Medicago truncatula: one gene and its partner. The protein of the gene in region 1 interacts with the protein of each later gene in a biochemical or structural test. Links are inferred from orthologs where the notes say so. Each region holds a gene or a part of one and is shown in the gene's direction. Other genes may lie near its edges. The genes, in order: CBL-interacting serine/threonine-protein kinase 24 and calcineurin B-like protein 7.

Evidence for each region.
Region 2: the proteins of CBL-interacting serine/threonine-protein kinase 24 (region 1) and calcineurin B-like protein 7 form a complex in vitro, tested with the Arabidopsis thaliana proteins (3 studies listed by BioGRID, with this or other methods). The link is inferred for Medicago truncatula from reciprocal best matches to the Arabidopsis thaliana genes SOS2 and SOS3.

What each region holds. Positions count from the first base shown.
Region 1 is NC_053045.1:55,311,015-55,319,567, reverse strand, and holds the start of CBL-interacting serine/threonine-protein kinase 24, read left to right. Parts: upstream 1-5,013; 5' UTR 5,014-5,384; coding exon 5,385-5,549; intron 5,550-5,895; exon of another isoform or gene 5,896-6,076; intron 6,077-7,786; coding exon 7,787-7,849; intron 7,850-7,940; coding exon 7,941-8,012; intron 8,013-8,159; coding exon 8,160-8,267; intron 8,268-8,370; coding exon 8,371-8,445; intron 8,446-8,553. UniProt on the Arabidopsis thaliana protein: Involved in the regulatory pathway for the control of intracellular Na(+) and K(+) homeostasis and salt tolerance.
Region 2 is NC_053044.1:45,064,002-45,073,185, reverse strand, and holds the start of calcineurin B-like protein 7, read left to right. Parts: upstream 1-5,785; 5' UTR 5,786-5,990; intron 5,991-8,666; exon of another isoform or gene 8,667-8,946; intron 8,947-9,184.

The sequences.
Region 1 (8,553 bases):
TAAATCTGTTAAATTTTGCCTAGAAATCTGAGAAGGTCAAGTATTGTGGGACAAATATTTTTTACAAATAGGTCACTTATTCACGGACGGAAGTATAATTGTCCCATCTCATCAGCTTCTTTGGGTTCATTTCACTTATAGGTGGCATTTAATTTGGGAAAAGAGACTTCTTTCCCACCATAGGAAAGTCATTTTTTTACCATTAGATTGAGTAGTACCACCATTGTTATTATAGTCTATCCACACAATATTTTCTTTACATCATCTCTAACCTTAACATCAACATGGAAATTCAGAAGGACATGGAACATCACAACAAAACATCAACAATCAACATAACAACAACAACACACTCTTCTCTCCTTCGAAAATCAAAACACAACAACATGAAAATTAGATGTTTTCTTTTATTGTTACCTTTATCTTACTTTTCTTCTATTTTCATCATACAGTACATGCATTCATCTATACACCAAATTAAATTAGAATTAGATGTATCTGGATTAAAATTCAGATTTGATTGTTTGTACAAAAAAATCTTTATGTAGATATCAGTGTGTCAGGTAAGATAGTATAGATGGAAGAATCCAATATTCCAATCAAGATTGATGATAAATCAGCAGGTGATGTAAAAGAAGATAAGGTTGAGATAGAAAAAGATCTGGAGATTAAATCAGTAGAGAGAGAGAAGAAACATAAGGATGAAGATAAAGACGATGAGAAAAGGGAAAAGAAGGATATGGAGAAGAAGAAGGAAAAGAAGGACAAAACTGATGTAGAGGAGAATGAACATAAGAAAGACAAAGATAAGAAGAAAAAGGTGGAAAAGAATCCAAGTTTCAATGGTTAGTGAAGATAGTAAGATAAGAATCTAGTGTTGAGAGACTATTGTAATAGTGTGTTCTTTGTATGATCCAATGGTTAGAAAAGACTTTCCCATGGTGGGAAAGAAGTCTCCTTTCCCAAATTAAATGTCACCTCACTTATATAACTCAGTCTAGAGTTTGAAAAATGATAACTTATATCCTTAACTTATGTCTATCATGTATAAGTTAACATGATCCTTTACTTTACGTAAGTTATCTGAACTTAATTTACATGTTTTATGTAAGTTAATGGAGAAGAAGAAAGAGAAATATAGTTGTTGGTTCAAGAGAATATAGAAGAGGCAAGCGAGTAAAAATTAGTTAAAAATATGTTTGAATCAAAGGGAAGGGAAGAAGTTTTAAATGATTTAGTCACGCTTCCTTAAAAAAAAAAATATAATTTAGTCAAGCTCTCATCGTCCCATGCCCTTCAAATAATCCCCCAATTTGAGGGGAAGCGAAAACGAATTAAGATGAGTTTTGTTTCCCTCCTCTCCCTTTCTTAAAAATTACACCGAATGTTATGATTTAAACTATTATTTGTTTGCATCTACTTCCAACCAAACATACCTTAAAAATGATAAGAACAATATTTTTTAGTCTATTGGACAAATAATTCTTACAATAACATTATACGTTGCATTAAGGTTAATCTAAAAATGTGTTTAATAGTACTTAATCTTAATTAATTTCTTTTGGCAACAATATCTCAGTAATTTTTAATTAGCCATTTTTGTCTTTTGTTTTTTATTTTTGAAAATTTAGTTGTATCTTTACAAATTATGCATTATTGGTTCATCTATAAAGGTGTTATCCAATCGTTAGCGAAGGATGTTGATGTACCAATAAATGGACGTTGATGTGCCAATAAATGGATGCTGTTAGTGCATTAGGTTCATTTAGCATATGGGTGTTTATAACCAATCCAATTTGAATTTTTTTTTTTTAATTAAAGGGAAAGGAAAAAAGTAACAATAGAAAAAACAAATAATTACAACTTTTCTATTTTTATTTCTTGTCCCTTTATGTAAGGTCTCTTTCAAATTTTCAAATGCAATACACCTTTAATTGTGTTACAACTCGTGATAAATACTCTAATGAAAATATTAATAATCATCTCTACAAAATTGCAAAACAACGTCAACAATCAACAATTAATCCAGTAATGAATGTAAACTTCAATTGAATCCAGGTTTATTCCTAAATTGATTGACTGTTTTTGACTCGCTTAACGAAGCACATAGATAACGCTAACGGTAGCAAGTTACCGCTGGTGGTTCAATTCTTTGTTGCCTTCTCATTTATGTTTTATCTTCATTCACATATAAAAACAAGGACAAATCATTGTGATGATTACCATCCTCATCCTCATGTATCAAATCCTAATACTTAAATATATAATAGAGTGGGAAAATCACATGTTTTTCTATCAATCTTAGTTAATCAATGTCATGGAATATATATTGAAAACTACATAAATTTAAAACTTATCAGTTGGTTTGGCCTTCTTGATGTTGATGGTGCCGGTAAAGCCATACTGCCAAGACTTTTTACAACCTCGGGTGCATAGGTCAAACTTAGCCTTGACCCGGAGAACTGACATTTCCAGCGATGAAGATCGTATTGTCCCATCGAACGTGTCAAATTTGTTATCGAACTAGAGATTTATCTGAGGTATTGGTTGATAATCCTCAAATGTGATTCCTTTTCTTCAGCAAGTAACTGAGAAAAGAACTATATCCCTCAATTGTGGGTTCCTTAACTGCTCATGTAGAGCGTTTTTTTACTACTAAACTAAGAAATACATGAAAATAAAGATAAATTTAGAAAGATAAAAGGATAAAATAACGTAAATAGATTATGTTTGATTGATGTGGACTGAATACAATGTACAAAATGAGTATTTATATGAAAAAGTATTCATATTGGCCAAATGACATGATCTATATTGTTTAGCATTTCTCGGATATTTGCGTAGATAGTACATTAGTTTTCCTTAGTTAAGGGGTTCGTGGTATCCCACGTTCGGCTAACAACTTTCGACTTCACAACATGATCCGTTGACAAGGTTCAATATGCTCAACCTTTCTCAAAACGTGTCTCTTTACTCATCGTTCCTTGTGGTTATTGGCGCTATAAACATGAAACCTGAGTTCAATGCCTCATTGTCCAGTTCTGTTGAGCTTTGACTTAGTCTAATGTCTTAAATACCCATACACTCTTCAGTAGACTTGAGAAAGAATTGACCGACCCTTGTTCTACTGCAACAACACTCGCCTAATCTTTAATTGACGACTCAGAGGGAGGGGGAACTCCTTATTCTTCCAACTACTAAATGCGAAACTTTTATTAGTACTCACTTTGGCACAACAACACTAACAAACGATTTTAAACAATTTTGTAACTCGCTTACTGATGAGCCTTGCTATATGGTATGAGAGAATCGGCACACGAACTGCACGACGTGTTGATCTACATGTGAGATTCTCTCTTAATGGATACTAGCTTATAACTTTTTCAATATAAAAGACAAAAGAAGATAAAATAAACACTTAGAAGTGGAAACATCCTTGAATTGTGTACTCCAATATATATCCACTTTTTGACACATCATTGAAGAGGTAACTTAGAAGCTAGAGTGAGATATATATGAAAAAGCACCGCTACAAGAAAAAGGTGCATGTAATTTCTCAAATTCTTATAAACAAACATATACGTGATACTAACATGGAGTCAAATGACAATAAAAACTCAAATAACAATAAAAAAAAAAGTCATTCGTGCGTTTGCGACGAAAATACTGTCGTGCACTTAAGCTTTTCCCTTTACTAATAACATAAACACGTTTTAATTTGCAACTTTATATTTTTTTTAGAGGAATTTGCTAATATATTTTTAAAGTCAAAAGCCCCTATGTTACTCGTTTGTGTTGGTTTGTTGCAATTTGCACGTTTAACTCCATTCTGTTTAAATGTTATATCTATTTTAGCTTTTGGTGCGTCATGTTATGAGTTCTTGTGTTATGTTATTTTACACAAGTTTGGATGAATCATTCATGCTCATTGTGCTGTTGAAGGAATTCCAAATGCTCGCTCAAAACACATTCAAGAGTTAGCAAGAATACATGGTCCACACTCCAGGCATTTGCATTAAAAGAAATCACTTTCTGAAGGGTCATATATAATTTCATAATGCTATTCCTCCTGGCTTGAATTTGTAATTAATTTAGTTCTAAACCAATATAAAGTAGCCTAGCTTTGTTTTCCATATTGGTACTTAATTTCAGCTGCTCTTATATATGATGCACAAGAAACCTACCCAGTAGGGTAAGGTGATTAATGGTGTAAATAGATATAAAATATAGAATAGTTAGTTGCATTGCATCATCTACTTTAATTTGGTAAACTTTTTCAAGAACTGGTTGTTGCTATAAATGGATGGAGTATATGTGGACTCCAATAGATATTGGGAAAGTTCTGTTTCCTAATGCTCACCTTTGATCATACAATTACACTTTTAATGTCAACTTTGTTTACTCTCTTCCTCAAAAAAGGAAAAAGTTATTTGTGCACTCTCATAAATTAATTGAATAAATAAGTATAAAAACGTAAGTACAAATATGACACTATTGCTTTCGTATTCATTATTGTTCACCAGTCCCCCACCCCACCCAAATATTGTACTTCTACGAGGGCTCATTAAAAATACTAGCCAATGAACAATATAATTTGTACATAAAAAATATTAATATATATAAATATGATTTTTTTGGCGGACAATATATACATATGAAATTAAACAACACACACCAAATACAAAATGCATTTGTCCTCCTGAGTTTTAATTCAGTTGATAGAGACAATATATAACATATGTAAAATTCGTAGTTTAAATTTCAACCATCATCAAAAAAATAAAAATAAAAAATATATTTAATGTTCTAAAAAAATATATTTAATTATCTACAAACTTCAAACAGTTGCGCGCAGAGAGGATACTTGATTTAAAAAAAAAAAAAACTTAAACTTAAACAAATAAAACAAGTTTTTATGCATTATTCACCGTTTGTAAAAGTAATTTATAAAAAATTGTTCATAAATATACAATTTTCGTTAACTTGTTACTTTGTTAAGCATGAACATGTAAATTAACATAAAAACTTATTTTTGTTCTAAAATAAGCCTAATTCAAACAGAAAATCCTGTGCATCTATTTCTCTTCTGTCTCTTGTTTGTTGTTGAAGCTTCACTTCAATTCAATTCAACCTCTGAAGCTTCACTTTCAGTTTTTCTAGAATCTTCCATTTCCGTTCTTACCTTAACTCTTTCTCCGATCCTCTTCTTCATCAAACACCACAACCTCTACTTTTCTTTTCAAGGATCGCGTTCCAGAATATTCTTCCTCTCATAGTTCGGAGCTAGCAGAAACTCACCTTAACAATTTCCGTTGAAAATTCGCTAATCAATTCGTGTTTCTAGGTCATTTCAACTTTCTTTGAATTGCGAATTGGTCACAATAATGAAGAAAGTGAGGAGGAAGATTGGGAAGTATGAAGTTGGTAGAACAATTGGTGAAGGCACATTCGCTAAGGTCAAATATGCAAAACACTCCGAGACAGGGGAAAGTGTCGCGATTAAAGTCATGGCTAAAACTACCATTCTCAAACACAGAATGGTTGAACAGGTTCCATTCTTTTTTTCCTTTCTAAAACTATGAGGGAAATATTTTATTCAATTTTTAGTGTATTTGTTAATCATCTTTATGTTTTGGTTCGTATGAGGTTATGCTTTTCTTAACATGTTTTACTGCATTAAATTTTTAATCAAAATAAAGATTAAAACTAGGCTACTTTGTCTTGAACGCCGACTTCAATCATAGAGATTTCCTACTGTCTGTGTCGATACTAGAAACTGCACTATGGCTGAAACCTACACTGCTAATGAAGTTAAAAGTGATTGCCTGGTTTCTATGTCGACAGGTAGGTGGTTATTAGGATGTAGTCGAGGAGTTCTTCCTATAACATAAATTCAAAGAAAATAAAGATGTTGTTCACCGAAAGATAGGCAATTTATTGACTTCAAGAGCGGAAAGGAATACTTACCTATGCCTCGAGTCCCAGTCTCCTAGTGGTGGGGATGGTAAAGGAAAATGTCTGGTTCTGGCTATGAGATGTCTTTGCCAAGCCTTTCCTCCCTGGCGGTCTACACCAGGTATGAACTCAATTTAAACTGGGATCAGAGGAAAAAAAAGGCTCTTTTCCTTTCTACCATGCTTTAGGCTGCTTATAGGAAAAAAGACTCTAGTTCCTTGCTCATTTACGCTGTAGGCGTAGAGCTATGGGAATGCTCAAAGGATGAGCACCGACCGGCCTACGTTTTGACTAGTCATCATCGGTTTATCTGTGTGCTGAAACCACCATCCATAGTCAATTCAATGGGTGGATAGCCACTCAACTTTTCACTGTGCATTCAATCACGTTTGCTATGAAATACCATTCCTTCGATTGCAGGACTGCTCATTCCATTAAACATAATTGTTTGTTTGAGAATCATTATAAGGAAAAACAAAGAAGCTAGATGATGAAATTACATGTCATTTCAGTTAAGGTAATTAAGCTACGAGAACATGACAGGGCTATTGAGGTTCTGTAAGGAGTAGGACAGAAAGGTATTTTCTTAGAAAAACGGAGGAAAGACGAAGTAGTTGGTTAATTTTAAGAAGATTAGTTAGATTAATAATAAGGGGGAGAACGGGTTGGTAGATCTTTCAAGGAATTTTTCAAGAGAAATAGGTGTTAGAGATCACACATTTACTAGTGATATGATCAACATAGTAGTTATAAGTGGGGGTAAACTGGTTTAAAAAAAAGGGGGTAAACTGTCACTTCATGAGCTAGTCTTTGAGGTTGAGTCTAAGTCAACCCAAATTCTTAGATGGTAATAGTGTTGTCAAATATTGGCCATGGCAGATATCGGTGGCAGGTTTTTGGCTTTCCACCATTTCCAATTTTGTGAAGGACAGCGGCGCCATAGTGCCATGGTCGGATATGGTGACGCCATATGTTAGCTGGTATGTCGGAATTTTCGTTCTTCGCCGCGATCCGCCATCTGCCATCGACAACACTGTGGCGTTGGCCTGTACTAGATATGTTATTGGGCCTCTTATAGATGTCTAGCCCTGGTCAATATAGTTTTTCTTAGTAAGTGGGGGGCAATCCTTACCCCAGGAGTAAGGAAAATACCCTTGTGAAGGGAAAATATTTGGGGGAAAGATCTTTCTCTTTGTCCCTTTTAATTTTTATTTTAGACTTTAGTCAATCAATCAATAAAATTGTTCTTTTCTTTTCTCTCTTTACATTGCACACTCCATACAGGTTCAAAATATAATTTAAGGTGGGATTCTTTTTTTTCTTTTTTCTTCGGTCAAATAGCCCAGTGGCTGAGGCTCACACATTTTAAATGTGAAGGAGTCCAGGTTTCGAACCCCGGCGCCTGCATATCATTTTCCTTGCAGCTACCAACCGAGCTGTGCTTACAGTTACAGGACAATTTAAGATGGGATTCTATTTCACTGATTCTGGTTATCTCTCTTGAGTATACACTGGACTATTAATGCTTCTGCGAAGTTATTATAAATCAATGCAAAACGATTCGAGTGTGTCATTGTTATGATAGTGTGTAATTGTTATACAAAACTTATGATTCTTTTCATCCAGCAAAATTAAAAAAGCATTTCGTCATGATGATGCCTGTTAGTGGATCTTATGTTGCATCTGAAGTCAAAGTCCTGCTTATATCTTTATGTGTGTGTTCTGTATTTATGCAGAATAATGATGTAGTTTGTTATACTCAATGCTTATCGTAATTCTTTCACCTTTTTGCTATTAGCTTTTCTAACTTGAAAGTTGAAACATGTTACAGATTAAAAGAGAGATATCCATTATGAAGATCGTCAGGCACCCGAATATAGTCAGATTGCACGAGGTGCACATAGATATCTGAATATATCAGGAGTTTCATCGTCTTTCTTTCTTTCTTTCCAAATTGTTTTTCTCACATTGCTTACAAATTTTAGGTTTTGGCCAGCCAGACCAAGATCTACATAATTCTGGAGTTTGTAATGGGAGGGGAATTATATGATAAAATTGTAAGAATTTTCATGCTTATATGTTACGAGATATATAGAGGTCAATTCTTCTACACTTCAATAGTTCCCAACTCGGACTTTTTGAACTAGTCAGCATTGACAAGGCAGATATTTATGTTTACTATTACACCTATTCTGGATCTGTAGGTTCAGCAGGTAAAGCTTTCTGAAAATGAATCTAGGCGCTACTTTCAACAACTTATAGACGCTGTTGCTCATTGTCATAAAAAGGGCGTGTACCATAGAGACTTGAAGGTGAAAGACAAAATACAATATCTGGTGTTTATAAGGTTTCTGCTGTAATTATTTTAACCTAGTTAAGTTTTTATCTTGATAATTTTTTTTCTTTCTTTAATAGCCTGAAAATCTTCTTCTTGATGCTTATGGAAATTTGAAGGTTTCTGACTTTGGATTGAGTGCATTGACTAAGCAGGTAAGAATCTACTCTACTTATAAAAAGGTGAGAGAAAATTATGAAGCATGGATACAGACACGAACACCGGATACGACACGGACACCGACATGGATAATAATTTGCGAA
Region 2 (9,184 bases), on another chromosome or scaffold:
CATACACACCATCATTCACATTCAAACATAAATAATCAAATGCATTATCATACACATTCAACCTAAACATAACCTAAACTAAACATAAACATTCATCTTCGTTGAAAAATCAAAACCACATTCAACCTAATTCAATATACACTTTTTCGAATTACAATCAACATCATATCCATAAACTAAACTAACTAGATAATCAATAAAATTGTCATTGAGGCATTTTATCAAACACTTTGTGTGCAAAGTATCAAACATACTCAAAATGTGTTCTTTTGCCACCATTCAAAACCACATTATACTCTAACATCATTCAATCATCAATTAAAGTAACTACATTCAATTATAAACTACATGCAATTATCAAAAATTCAATTCCTACATTAACCCTAACCACATGAAAACTACCATTTTTTTTTTAAAAAACCTACACAAACTAACATTATGATTAAAAATGAGTCAAGATACTTACTTGTGATTAAATGGAGATGATGCACTTGATTTTGCTCAAAAATCGAAATGGGAGAAGTAGTTTGGTTTTGGAAAGTTTTTGAACACTTGAACAATACTCAGAAAACTGAGTTTCTGCTTCTGTTTATGTTCAGTTCGCATCGGCAGTTAACTGCCGAGGAAATCCTCGGTAGTTAACTGCCGCCGATTTTCTAAAACTTCGACAGTTAACTGCCAATAGACATTTATGTAAATTACTCGTGTGTCTCAGCCAAACCTAATGTGTCAACATCAATTCTCTTATTATAATAACTAGCGCTGCTCGTTGTAACTTTTTATATATTCTTGCTCACGGTTTTTTTTCTATCTTGCACTTAATTTGTATGTTAACCATTAGCTTTATTTTTGGGATACATAAAGGCAGAGATTAAAATTGTGGTTGAAAAAAAAATTTAGGAATAAAAATTGAAGAATTTTTTTTGTAAGAACTAACTCTAAAAATTGAAATATTTGTCAGGACAAAAACACACTTAACTATAAATTAAATACTAAAAAAATAAATACATTAAATAAAAAAATATTTATACATTTTTTTATTTTTTGAACGACAAAAATATATGTATATATAAATAAAAGGAAAAATCTTCTTCTAAAAGAGTGCAAAGAGATACAAATAGTGAGTACAAAAAATACTTTAATCAAGAGGTAACAAAACAAAAGGATCTCTCCCAAAGAAAACAAGAGTGAAACTAAAACTAAAACAACACTAGACAACCAACCAACCTCCCATCAGAACACTCAACCTCGACCAAATAGAAGGAAGACTAGGAACAGAATCTCACATACTTGGCGCTTATGAGGTACCTACATTAAAGATTTTTTTTAATACCTAATGAGACTGAGGTCTTAATGAAGCATAAGACGATAATGATGTCTCATATAAGATCACAATTCTATTTTTTCAAAAATAAGTTGATCTAAAAAACTAATTTCATAAAATATATAAATAATTGATTTGTCAAAAAAAATCATTGATAAAAAATAATCAATAGAGTTAAAAAATAATTGGTTCTCATTACCCACTGACTCCATCTTTCGTATAATACATCCTTTTGTCTCCGTCTTTATATCAAGATTACATTGTTCATTTTTTGAAAATCCAAAGTATTTACAATTTTTTTTGATTCCATCGAAAATAAAGTAGCGAGTTGGATCAAGAAGGGAAAAAATACGAAACAATAAAAAAAAACTTAAGATCAATAGTTGTGGTTGTTGGTGAATTCATGGATAAATAAAACAAAACTCAATGTCGATTGAGAGAGAGGGGATATGGCTTTTGGTTTAAAAAAATATTGTTCTGAATTTGGATATCCGGAAAAAAAAAAATGGGCTTATAAAACTCGACGAGATTATTTGGATGATGTTTTTTCCATGTACCTGAATATGTTGCACATCCCTACATGTGGGTAGCAATGTCCAATGGAGATTGGTATACTAGGAGAACATTTGAAGATAGTAGAAGAAAATCGGAGCTTTTGGTCGTAAGGTTAGTCGAAACAGTGGATGAGAGTCGAGTAGGAGAATGTGCCGTGAGGGAGAGTTAAGGTAAAGGATATCTTGATCTACAATGGACCAATTGTCAAGTTGGTCCATATTAGAGTTCGTCTTGAGAGAGAAGTAAGAGGGAGAGAAAGGTAGGATAAATATGACACTTATTTCGTTTGGTTGAGGAAAGGTATATCAAATAAAGAAAGAAGTAGACGAGACCCACGTAGTTTTGGCTTCTTCGCTCAAGTGCGGAGAAATGCTTGTTGTGATAGAAGTAATTAAGTTTTTTTTCTTCCAAAAATACCCTTATTCATTTATTACTTCGACGACTCTCTCGTCTTTCTCTACAATACCTCTGTCAATTTTGTAATCTACTCCTAATGGCTCTCCCATCACAAAATTGGTGAGGAAGAGAAACATTTGACACTCTCGATACTCTGTTCATGATGTAGGAAGTTAGTATTATTTCAAAGAGACACAAATGTTTGTGTGGGAGATTCGATCCATGAAGGTATCATGTTATTGGAAGGTAGAGATAGTCAGGATGTCGGGAAAAGAGGAATGATATTTTGACTACAAATTTTAAACAACTTCTAGTGACAACATTTTTTCTCTCTTTTTATTAGACAATAACAATAGAGAGAGAAAAGAAAAGAATGAGAATAAAATTACAATAAAAATATAAAAGTGAGTTATCATAAAAGTTGCTTAGAAATGATTGTTCAAATATCAATTTTTTTTTTGTAAAAATGGTCTGTCTTCGTTGTTGCATTGTTAGCATTTTGATTGACTTAATAATAGTTCTATTAAAAATTACTATCAAATTATATATTATATATTTTTTTTTAGTTTAAAGGCACTCTTGTCATTTTCAAAATTAACTACGACTCTCTCTTCTCGCACTGTCTTGATCTCTTCTCACTATCTTTATACTACTAAGCAAAACAATAATGAACTAAGAAGACGCTAAAAAGCTCGTATTGAAACATGTAGTTCCTCACGATGACCAATTGCACTAAAGTGAATATTAGGTTGGCAATGAACCGACCAACTCGATTATAGTTCGACATTCGACTCGATATTTAATCCGTTGAACTTGGTTCATGAACCTAACGAGCTGGACTTGAGCTGAAAATTAAGTTCGTTAATTAAATGAGCTGAACTTGAGCTACATATAGTTCGACTCGTTGGGTTCATGAGATGACTCGATTATCGATTATATATATAAATCAATTTGAGTTAGTTTTTTAAAAAAAATTAATTCAAATGAGGCAAATGTGGCTGAATACAATTTTGTCTTGAAGGGAAGAGCAGTTGGAGTTTAAAAGTAAAAGAATATTATGAATTTTGTTCACAGCTAATTGAATTTTGTTGGATTTTTTTGTCTCTGTTACTTGTATCAGATATTTTTCTTCGTATTTATGCAACATTTAACTTTATATAATTTATGTCTATTATATGCATGCTTGTGGGAACTTTTATTTTAATTTAATATTTAATTTTAAAATATATATATATAATATCAAAGATCTATAAATTAATTTTTTTTTTTTTATAATTATTTTTGGACGAGTTGAGCAACCGAACTGAACCTAACAAGCCGAACCGAAGTTCGTGACCTTCAAACGAGCCGAACTCGAGCTGAAAAAATAGTTCGTGTCGAACTCGAGTCGAACCAATTCTTATCGAGTCGAGCCGAGCTCAGGCAGGTTCGGTTCGACTCGACTCATTTCCAGCCCTAGTGAATATTAATGTAATGCACATTTAGAAACAATGTAAGTTTGACAAAATTACAATAAAACCTTGATTTTGTTGAGGTGACAACTAATGTACCCATGGAAGAATGACGGATAATTTACCTCAACCAATGAACATTCACATTTTTAGGTAGTATCCATGAACTATTTTAACTCCACTAATAAATTGCTCATTTTCATTAGTTGGTAGGTAAATTACCACATTTTAACCTTTTGGGTTGGAGCACATTTTAATTTTTTCAAAGTTACAATGTCTTTCCGTAATTTTTCAAAACCGGCGCAGATCCAAACATGTGTATAGTTTGTGCAAATATTTCTTTACAATTCATGTAATTATTGTTGGTCGCCAAATTTAGTTGCGGAGTACTACTCCAGTTTTTTACAAAAGAAAAAAAAAAAAGAATACATATATTTGAATCAAATACATATACATTTTTACTTGTAAAAATCAAGGGGAAAAAATATATTTTCAGTCAATGTTGCAAAAGCTGCGTCGTCACAAGTGTTGCAGATATATGTTTAGCCTCTCCTTAACATATTAGATTAAGTGTTGCAGATATAAAGATGTTTTTTTTATTTTTTATTTTAGTGTAGTGTGAAGACTACTATCTGTCTATCACCCCAAATTGTATACCCAAGTGGAAAAAAGAGGAAGAAACGAATATTTCATTTTATACGAAACAAATCGCGAGCTCATTGTTTCATTTGTTTCTTTGATTTTTATGTGTATGAATATGAATGTCTATGTGATGTCTTCTTATGAGATTTTTTAGGTGTGCAAGTTGAGATCTCGCCTATTGTTCAATGCATAAACACCAAACGAGGGCTTAATCAAATAGCTTAATCGGAAGACAAATACTCAAGTAAAAAATACTAATCGGAAGACATTTTGTGAAAATGAGAAATCAACAAGTGGATAAGTTATCTTGGCTAACCCTGGGACCGTTTCACAATAGCTTAATCAAAGCCAAGTCAAAAGGAAAACAAAAATAATAAGATGCATTGTATTTTCTTGGTATATAGACTACTCATTTTGGTCTAAATTATAAGCAATTTTTCTTTTTAGGATTAATTGAATAATATATATATATATACGGTCTATGTTATAAATTAAATATATTGATTATTAAATGCATCAAATTATTATTATTATTTTGGTAAAAAAAAATTGAGATAATACGGTATTGAAGTCAATATGAACCTTAGAAAACATTTATTTAATATATATGAAGAGGAACTATACCGATTCCATCCATCTAAATAGAGTTTTAGTTGTTATCGTAAGCATACCTCAGTTGACAGAGACAATATATTATTTTTTTCTTACAATATATTGTTATATTAATTCACATCAAAATAAGGTTTGAACCCCGTATATTCTACTAATTCACATTAAAAAATTATTTCCTTTGTCCCATATTAAGTAACCATTTTTAAAAAAAAATATTGTTGAAAGTAATCAACATATTTTACTCTTCAGTGCAATATTAATTACTTTTTCCAATTATAACTTTATTTTTTATGTATTAATTATAACTTTAATTAATACTACTTTCAACACTTTCAATTCAACATAGTCCACTTTACATTGATGATAATGGTGAATGAATACTTAAGATATATTCCACTTTATATTTATGACAATAACACTATTTTTTTTCTCTCTCTCCTTCACTAATTAATTTTTCTTAATATATGTGTGAAAGAGTAATGCTAGCAGCACTTTTTTAAACACTCTTTAATAATTATTCTTTTATTGATTTAAATAACTGTGGATCTACACTTTGAAAATTAAACTCACACAAAATAGTGAGACATATATTGATTACATCCAATAAACCGAATGTGAAAAGAGTGTTAAAAAATTAGTGTTGTTACCCTTTCTGATGTTTGAAATAGGCAAATAACCAATTAAATTGTTTAATATGTTAGGGAGGGGTGAGTTTTAGTCAAATAATTATGGGGATGTGGCAATCAGCCAGCTGGAAGATACATATTAATTAATAAATAAATAATCAATGAGAAAAGTTGAAAATGTTGCGGCTCTAAATTCCATTTCCAATTCAAAATGTGGCAAGCAGCCCGAGGTTAGAGTCTAACCGTTTAGAATAGACGCTACTTCTCCGGCAACAACACATAGGACTTACTTACGTTTTATCTCCAATTCCCATTCCCATACGAGAAAGCAAATATCAAGATTTATTTATTACCACTCCAGACCTCACCTGTTATGTTGTACAGGTCAGTATCTCCTTTTCCCCTTTTTCTATCTGTGTTCATGCACTTTCATTATTAAACTATCTTCACCTAATATCGGATCTTGTTTCAAATTTTAAGCATCTTCACCTAATATTGCCTCTTGTTATTTATTATGAGTTCTATCTATTCAAACAAACATTTGTTCTGTTCTTGTCCTTTGTGCATTGTGAAAATTTCAATATCATTCCCTTTAATTTCTATAGATATCAAATTTTAGGTATTTTCGATTAGATGGAATAAAATGTTGATTTTGTTTCTATAGTTGATTGGAATTAATAAATTTAGCCATAAATTTTACATTGAAAAATATTAGAAACACTCCTTTAACACTCACTCTCCTATGAAATCCATGCTGGTAATTTTCAAAGTGTATACACTAAATTTCAACTAATTAAAGAGTATAAGTTAGTAAAAGAGTGTTTTGCAAATTATTTGATTTTCCTACTATATATCTAATATATTTCTTTACCTAACATATATGAGTAATGATTTGACAATTCAAATTGTGCTTGCTGCCTGAGAATAGTGTGAAAAGTTATGTAGTTTGTCGGTTGACAAAGAAAGGGACATCAGAAAGAGTAATGATAATTGATATAACATATTTGACAACTTCTGTCACAATATTCTTTATCACTCTTTATATTCAGAAAAAAAAAACAATTGTTCAAAAATTATCGTAAAATTATAACAAATAACAATTCTCATCCAAAAATTGTGAAGTGAGCCCCCACAACTTTTTATAGTCTTGACTAAACAACGAAGAAAATAATAGAAAGAAAGAAGCACCCATTTTTGTAGTTCTCACGTTTCACGTGAATAAAGTGGCCTGCCAAATAGAGTACTATTCCGACGGCCTTTACTGTTTTTTACTAGCGGAGCCGTCGAAGGAATGGTAGGGGGACTTCTTCTTATAAGAGGCAGGGCTAGAACTTGTAAAGACACATATTTTAAGGATTCTCAACTAATGTGAGATTCTAAACACATCTTCCGATGTTCCGTTAACATTTACAACATAATCTTACTTGTGGACATCCTTGAAAGAAGAGTCTTATAATCACACTCTATTCAACATTTTCTCTAATACTTATTCTTTTGTTGAATGAAATCAACGTAATATTCTCATTTTAAAAATGAATTCCACATAAAATGATAAAATTTCACTCAATGAAAGAGCAAGTATTAAAAAAAAAGTTAAAAAAAAGTGTTCTTTAAGACTCCTCATCCATAAAATTGTATGATGATCGTTGCAAAGACACGTAAGAAATATAACAAACATGTATTTCTCTGGCCTCTGAGTGCTCATATTTTAAGGTATTTTGTTTTGTTTTTTTATATTTATGAAAGGACGTATCCTTCTCATCCAAAATCTAATTTTTTTTTTTTTTTATATATTTGAGAGAGTGACTTGTCCCTTCACTTGTTGTTTGAGGCCATGTCTCCTATCCTCGAGGAGCAACTTGAATTTCGTATCTTTTTTGTGAATATTAAGGGAGTGACTTCATTTTTATTTTATTTTGTATAATCCGTCATCTCTTACCTCTTTTTTTCTTCTTTTCTGCCAACCAAATATTGTCAAAGTAAGATGAGGTAGGGATAATGACTAATGAGGATGACTACCCATGTACTCTAACGGCTCTAAAGGCTAAATGTACATCTCCTACTTGTACTTGATTAGAATTGCCTGATTATTAATTAAGGTTGTGTTATTTATAAGCAAGTGGGGGAGGCCTATAATCTGTTCACCTAATTAAGTTTTCTCTGACTGTGTTATTAAAGCTCCATCTCTTGCGTGAATCATGCACATGACAACCTTTCTTTTCTTTTAATTTTTTTTGACGGATTTTCCTTTAATTTATAATGGGTTTTTTCAATCATTTGCTAATTAATTTGCACATATTCAAAAGTTTAAAATAATAAATTTATACATGATAGAAAAACCCATAATAAAGTCGTCAAAAGTTGCTTGAAATCCATAAGTTATATTTCAAATGATAATTGTCGATATTATTAAATCGGACACCATTCTAACATAAAACATCATAGTTATACGTCAACTTTAGATAGTGTGTATGTATCACTTCACTTCATCTACAAATCAAACAAAAAATAACGTGGCCAAATTATACGAGGCTGTAATGAATGGTGTCTTTAAACCATGGAGTAGGATCCTTTCTTGTTTTAGCAAAATAAAACAAATTCCGTTGTTTTTATATTATGTCTTTGTCTCCTCCATACGAGTGATACATGACATATCGTGTCCTTTTTTATTTTGAAAATAAACATAGCAACAATTTTGAGCAATCAAACAAATTTAGCCGACTCCATTTAAAGACTCGGATAGAGACGTGTTTTCTTTTGGATTATAGTGTTATTAGCCGACTTCATCATACCGTGATTTCGTCAAATTCACCATCAATCAAAACATGTACGAATAATTTTTTTAAGAAATAGATGTGACCCTCAGTTAAATATTGCATCATGAACTGGTGCCTCCTATTAATCAATCAATAGATTTGATACCGAGTTTGAAGAAAGTATCGTATCATGATTGAGTCATCAAAGTTGTTTTACCTCGTGTTTTTTTTCTGTTATTTTCTTCAAAATAAAATAAACCGAGAGAAGAAACCAGTATTTTAATTTCTTTCTTGATTTGCTTTGAGTTTTTCTGCAAACTAAATATTATTTATTAAGTTGTGAGTTGTATGGTATTGGTCAGTAGGGATAAGCTTGTCAATTCAATTCCAACTCATATGTTTCTACTTACCTTTGGCAAACGTGTATTTAAAGGTTTAATGTTGCTTTCACATGTTCATATAAATAACATAACCGAATGCCCGGTGAAGTTTGGTACTCCTGAATTTGTATGCCTCTTTTATGTAGTTATATAAGTTCGTTGTTGTAGCTATTTACAACCAAGTTGGTGCACTCTTCTTGTTATGTAAGCATTTTAATATCATTACTAAATTATTTTTGTTATATGAAACTTGACAAAGAAATGAATCATTAATATATATATATATATATATGTGTGTGTAAGTTTTTTTTGTTATGATCAAGTTGTAGTCCTCTTTGATTTTATTATGTGCGAGTGTGATTGATTTGTTTATTTATAATACTATTGTACCTTTTGCCAATTCTCAAATGATGACAAGTTAATTGATTTTGATTGGAATTTC